Callithrix jacchus: one gene and its partner. Each later gene encodes a partner of the first gene's protein in a complex. Links are inferred from orthologs where the notes say so. Each region holds a gene or a part of one and is shown on either strand. Other genes may lie near its edges.

Region 1 (3,519 bases):
TAGCAATTTCCTTGACCCTCCACTCTCCTACCCAACACCTGCCTTTAGAAGATGCCATCACAAGCTGGGCACGGTGGCTCATGCCTGTAATCCTAACACTTTGGGAGGCTGAGGCAGGGGAATCACCTGAGGTCAGGAGTTCAATACCAGCCTGACCAATATGGTGAAACCCTGTCTTTATTAAAAAGAAAAAAAAAAAAGAAGAAGATGCCATCACAATCAGAGTAAGTAGCCTTACCTCCTGGGGCTTCCCATTTTACCTGTGACTTACCCAGGTGGTTAGGGGCAAGGGGCAGGGCTGACACAGGTGCCCGGGAGAACTGCTCTCTCCGGCTCCTCTGCTGCTTCAGGTTCTGGGATTGGGGAAAAATGCAAAGGACCTGAAGCCGCTAGAAAGCAGGCATGTTAAGGAGATTCCCACTGTTGGCCCATGACCCTGTAGGACTTGTCCCTTCCCCATTTCCCTCCTGGATCCTTACCCCCATATTCTTATCCCTCCTATGCAGATTGTTCTCACCTCTGTCCTCACTTCTAAAACCGATTTGAAGTCATTGGACATAGAAGCCAGTTTCGACTAGAAGAAAAGGAGAGAGGGTCAACCAAAGACTCCACATTCCTCCCCTTTCCCTCCCTCCCTTCCTCCCCAGGTCCCACCTGCAAGGACACCACAATGGTGTTGGAATGGGTCTGCAGGTGCCGGCCACTCTGGCTGCCCTTGGCCCTCACGAAATCTTGGAGCTGAGCAATCTGTTTGTTGAGGCTATTGATGTCCTGGTAAAAGAGCCCACGGAAAAATCAAGTATTAGCCAAGGAGTCCTCAGTCAGCTTCTCTCCCCATGGCCATCTCTGGTAGGAAGGGCAAGGTGGAAGTTACTAACTAAAGTGAGAATATCCCAGACAGTCAGACCAGATGGGCCTACTAGAATTTTCCAAAGTCTAGTATATGCTCTAGCTCAGTCCCTGCAGAGAAGAGCTAGAAAGAGGCAAAGAGGGCTTCATCTATTTGTAAATGACTTGTTTATTCCTCCAGCCTACTGCCCTGGCTCCACTCTGTGAGGCCATGCTCTTGGCTACAGAACTCTTTCAAAGGCCAAAATCTTGGGTCTAGAGCATAACCAACAAAGCACCTGGACAATCCTTAGGAAAAAGGAATAGCCAAAGGCACTGTAGTTTCCAGAGGCATCAACAGAATTGTTTTTATAGACATAATTCCTTGGTGGCTGACACCTGTAATACCAGCACTTTGGGAGGCTAAAGTGGGCAAATCATGAGGTCAAGAGATCGAGACCATCCTGGCCAACACAGTGAAACCCCGTCTCTACTAAAAATACAAAAAAATAGCTGGGTGTGATGGTGCACACCTGTATTCTCAGCTACTTGGGAGACTGAGGCAGCAGAATCACTTGAACCCAGAAGGCGGAGGTTGCAGTGAGCTGAGATTGTGCCACTGCACTCCAGCCTGGTGAGAGAGCGAGACTGTGTCTTAAATAAAAAAAAAGTGCCGGGCGCGGTGGCTCATGGGTATAATCCCAGCACTTTGGGAGGCCAAGGCGGGTGGATCACGAGGTCAAGAGATTGAGACCATCTTGGTCAACATGGTGAAACCCCGTCTCTACTAAAGATACAAAAAATTAGCTGGGCATGGTGGCGCGTGCCTGTAATCCCAGCTACTCGGGAGGCTGAGGCAGGAGAATTGCCTGAACTCAGGAGGTGGAGGTTGCGGTGAGCCAGGATTGTGCCATTGCACTCCAGCCTGGGTAACAAGAGTGAAACTACGTCTCAAAAAAAAAAAAAAAAAAACAACTTTTTATTGGCCGGTGCAGTGGCTCATGTCTGTAATCCCAGCACTTTGGGAGGCCAAGGCAGGCAGATCACGTGAGGTTAGGAGTTTGAGACCAGCCTGACCAACATGGAGAAACCCCGTCTCTACTGAAAATACAAAAATTAGCCAGGCATGGTGGCATGTGCCTGTAATCCCAGCTATTCAGGAGGGTAAGGCAGGAGAATCACTTGAACCCAAGAGGCAGAGGTTGCAATGAGCTGAGATGGTGCCACTGCACTCCAGCCTGGGCAACAGGAGTGAAACTCCATCTCATTCATTCATTCATTCTTTCATTTATTTATTTATTTTAAAAGAAAGGGTTTCACCATCTTGGTCCGGCTGGTCTTGAACTCCCGACCTCAGGTGATCTGCCCGCCTTGGCCTCCAAAGTGCTTGGATTACAGGCATGAGCCACCACGCCTGGCCAACTCCATCTCAAAATAAATACATTAATTAATTAAATTTAAAAATAAAAGTTGGCCAGGCATGGTGGCTTATGCCTATAATCCCAGCACTTTGGGAGGCTGAGGCGGGTGGATCACGAGGTCAAGAGATCGAGACCATCCTGGTCAACAAGGTGAAACCCCGTCTCTACTAAAAATATAAAAATTAGCTGGGCATGGTGGTGTGTGCCTGTAGTCCCAGGTACTCGGGAGGCTGAGGCAGGAGAATTGCTTGAACCCAGGAGGCGGAGGTTGCAGTGAGCCGAGATCGTGCCATTGCACTCCAATCTGGGTAACAACAGCAAAACTCCATCTCAAAAAATTAAAAAATTAAAAAAATAAAAATAAAAGTTATTATTACAGCTGAGTGCAGTGGCCCACACCTGTAATCCCAGTACTCTGGGAGGCTGAGGTGGGCAGATTACTTGAGGTCAGGAGTTTGAGACCAGCCTGGCCAACATGGTAAAACCCCATCTCTATCAAAGATTAAAAAATGAACCAGACATTGGTGGTGGGTGCCTGTAGTCCCAGTGACTAGGGAGGCAGGAGAATCACTTGAAGTCAGGAGGTGGAAGTTGCAGTGAGCCAAGATTGTGCCACTGCACTCTGGCCTGGGCAACAGAGGAAAACTTCGTTTCAAAAAATAAATAAATAATTTAAAAATAAAGTTAGCCAGTCGGGCGCAGTGGCTCACACCTGTAATCCCAGCACTCTGGGAGGGTGAGGCGGGCGGATCATGAGGTCAAGAGATCGAGACCACCCTGGCCAACATGGTGAAACTCCATCTCTACTAAAAATACAAAAAGTAGCCAGGTGTGGTGGCACGCCTGTGGTCTCAGCTACTTGGGAGACTGAGGCAGAAGAATCACTTGAACCCAGGAGGCGGAGGTTGTAGTGAGCCGAGACTGGGCCACTGCACTCCAGCCTGGTGACAGAGCAAGACTCCACCTCAAAAAAAAAATAAATACATAAATAAAGTTAGTCTTGGCTCTGAAAGAGTTGCTCCATAATGGCAGTGATTAAAAGAAAAAAATGAACCCTCACAAGAACCCTACGAGATAGGTACTGTTAATATTCCCTTCTTACTAATAAAGGAATTGAAGCTCAGAGTAATCAAGAGCTTCCCCAAGGACTCAACATAAGTGCTAGACCTGGGATATGAACTCAGGTCTGTCAATCCAGTAAGCTGGCTCTTAAATGCCTAGGCAATAACACCCCTAGTTAATGGAACCCTTTCTTTTCCATTAGTGCATC
Region 2 (3,519 bases), on another chromosome or scaffold:
CAGAGTCTCACTCTGTCACCCAGGGTGGAGTGCAGTGGTGTGATCTTGGCTCATTGCAATCTCCACCTCCTGGGTTCAAACGATTCTCCTGCCTCAGCCTCCTGAGTAAGGATTACAGGCACGTGCCATCATGCCTGGCTAATTTTTTTTTTTTTTTTTTTTTTTTTGTATTTTTAGTACAGACAGGGTTTCACCATGTTGGCCAGGCTGGTCTCAAACTCCTGACCTCAAGTGAGCCACCCACCTTGGCCTCCCAAAGTGCTGGGATTACAGGCGTGAGCCACCTTGCCTGGCCAAAATCCACACAATGTTTCAAAGACTTAATATGGAAAAAAAGGAAGGTAAAATATCTCAATAATTTTTAATATTAGTTGTACATTGAAACTGTAATAGTTTACATAATGAGCTAAATAAACTATCTTATTAAAATTAATGTTTTATGTTTCTTTTTACTTTTTAAAATGTGCCTACTAGAAAATTTAAAGTTAACATATGTGGCTCCTGTTATGTTTCTACTGGCAGTGCTGGGCTAGAGTTTTTTATCCTTCTCTATGTTGTATGTGTTACCTTTTAACAAATTAAAAGCTAATAAGTAAATAAGATAAATTATCAGAGGAAACACAGCAGCATTTTGAAAATGACAGATAAAAGGAGAAAAGCAAACACTCACAGAACGGGAATCCCTCTCCACTCTTTCTCCACGCCTGCCTGCTGCCATTTCAAAACCCTAAGAACTTGCTAAGTAAAAACCTAACAGGTCTTTCTTTATAAACTTTACCATTATGGAGAATTTTGAACCATCACAAAGCAGACAGCATAGTATCATGAAATGTCATATGTCTACCACCCATAACCAAGAACCACCAACCTCTGAAATCCTGTTCCCCCTTACCCCATCTCCCCTACTCCTACAACTGTGCAGCAAATTCCAGATACCATATTCCTAATAAGATTTTTGTTTCACAATTATGGTCCTAGTAGGCTTTTAAATCAAGCTGAATTTATGAGGGATAAGGAGGGGGTTGAGAACTGTATTCTTCCCTTTTTTTCAATAGCTATTACTTCTATAAAATGGGCCCCAAGAACACTGGGACCCTCTCAACACCCCAGAAACCACCAGCATTTGTGTCTCCTTCCCACTGTTAGTGAGGGGGTATCCTCTCACCACACCAGAGCATAAATGCCCTGGACTCAGAGGCTGAGTTGTCTCTTTGCTCCCTCTCTCTCCAACGCCTCTCCCACAGGACACGCTGAGAGAAGGCCCCTGGCTGGTTCTAAGCTGAAATGTTCAGGTAAGTTGTAAACACAAAGAGTGACCATGGGATCACCTGCTTGCTTTCCTTTTGCTTCTGCCTGTTTGCTGCACTGAAAAAAAGTGGTTCAAAATTAAAGATAATTTCTAGAGGTGATAATGGTATTGTGGTTCTGGGGTTGTTTCTGCTTTTTCCCCAGAGCCCCTCATCCTCTACAGAGATGTACTGAGATATTTATGGACAATGTCTGGAATTTGCTTCAAAATAATTCAGATAGGAGATGGGCTGAGGGTAGAATTGAAACGAGTCTGGCTGGGGTAATGGGCTCAGGGCTCAGATGATTCAGGATACCATGCTTTCTACTTTTGTCCATGTGTGCAATGTTCCAAAAGCATTTCAAAGAGTAAACCCTCTTTTTCTGTTGTCTCATACTGAAGGACCCTGGAGAGGGCTGATACTCTTCTGTGTCACAGAGGAGCCACTCTGGGAAAACTACTGGAGGGAACCAGATGGTCTCAAGCAATCTCTCCTGCAGCCTTTGACTCTCATCTTTTAAAAAGAACTCATAGGAAAAATAACATTGGGGAGTATAATTGTAAACTAAGGTCCTAGCAGTCTTACCATCAGCCAATTCACTAAACATCCCGTGGAGCAACGATTCCCAAATTTGCCTGGCCATATGGGTACCCAGAGCCCTGGCTGTAAATGAGACTCCCAGGCCCCTCACCCACCTCTGCCAACACCTTCTCTAGGAAAGGGCCTGGGGACCTCTGCTTTACACTTGAGACCCTGGGAATGCCCGCCCTGGGGAAACACTGATGGGGGTGTGGGGTCTCCTAGTAAAGGGAAATAAGAGCAGCATATCCCCACTATGGATAAGACCAAGGTGTCAAGTCATCTCACGAGGAAGAAGCCCCCCAAGTCAGTGAACTTCGTGTGGGCCGTGGTGGAGGAGCCCAGGGTGGAGATGCCAGGGCTAGGGCGCTAGAGCAGTGTCTCTGGGAGACGCTTCCTACTCTGGGCCCAGCTTTACCTAGAGACTGCATGGCCTCCTCGCTCTGCTGGACCTGCTGGGCCATCATCCTGCTGATCCCCATGAGGCTCTCAGTGATGGCACTGGATGTCTGGGCCAGGCTCTCTTTGGTAGTTTTCCTGAAAGTTCAGAGGAAGAGAAAGAGGAAGAATGTCAACAAAAGTCTCCCTGCAAGAAGGCCCCATATCCAAATGATATCTCACTTTTTGCCTACCCAATCAGCATATATATTTTAAGTGATCACATTCAATGCTGGCAAGGATATGCTGAGACCCACACTCCTATGGACTGCTAGTAGAAACAGAAACCGGTGCTACCTTCTGTAAAGCAATTTGACAATGTAGGAGCCTTAGAAATGTTCATTCCTTTGACTCAATCATCTCATCCCTGAACATCCCTCTAATGGAAACATCCAAAATGCAGATGAAGCCTTATGTTCTAAGACATGCTCTGCTGTATTACTTACAACACCAAAACACTAGGAATGCAAACACACATAGGGGATAGTATTAGCATACAATCTACATACTATGTACTGTTAGAATTAGGCTTTAAAAGTTTTCTTTTTTTTTAAATGAGCAAGTTTTGTGCTGAAACAGCAGGATATAAAATTATATGTATGGTACAATTGTGACTTAAGAAATGTAGAAGAAAAAAATGAGAGAAGAGAATATACCAAAATGCTCATGAGTAATAAGATTCCATATTTTCAGCCAGGTACTGGGGCTCATGCCTATAATCCCAGCACTCTGGGAGGCCAAGGCGGGAGGATTACCTGAAGTCAGGAGTTCAAGACCAGCCTGGCCAACATGGTGAAACCCCATCTCTAATAAAACTACAAAAAATTAGCCGGGTGCAGTGGCACAACCCTATAATCCCAGCTATTAGGGAGGCTGAGGCAGGAGAATCACTTGAACCTAGGAGGTGGAGGTTAGGTTGCAGTGAGCCAAGATGAGCCACTACACTCCACTACACTACACTACTGGGCTACAGAGAGAGACTGTCTCGAGGAAAAAAAAAAAAAAAGATTCGATATTTGCATTTTGTAATTTATACTTTATTTTATCAATTTACTACAAATAAGTATGCATTTCTTTCAAACTTTAAAAAATTACTTATATAATAAAATTAAACACCAAGCTGAAAACAAGAAGGGATTCCCTACAATGGATTTTACACCTTGCCAATTGTTACCTATTTTATTATGAGAGCCCAGAAAAACAAAAGAACAGG

Evidence for each region.
Region 2: STX5 (region 1) and BNIP1 share a complex: the UniProt entries of both Homo sapiens proteins name them as parts of the SNARE complex. The link is inferred for Callithrix jacchus from reciprocal best matches to the Homo sapiens genes STX5 and BNIP1.

Annotation. Positions count from the first base shown.
Region 1 is NC_133511.1:120,104,866-120,108,384, forward strand, and holds part of STX5 (syntaxin-5), read right to left. Parts: intron 772-3,519; coding exon 655-771; intron 575-654; coding exon 518-574; intron 354-517; coding exon 272-353; intron 1-271. UniProt on the Homo sapiens protein: Mediates endoplasmic reticulum to Golgi transport.
Region 2 is NC_133503.1:65,519,775-65,523,293, reverse strand, and holds part of BNIP1 (vesicle transport protein SEC20), read right to left. Parts: intron 2,406-3,519; coding exon 2,287-2,405; intron 1-2,286. UniProt on the Homo sapiens protein: As part of a SNARE complex may be involved in endoplasmic reticulum membranes fusion and be required for the maintenance of endoplasmic reticulum organization. Also plays a role in apoptosis.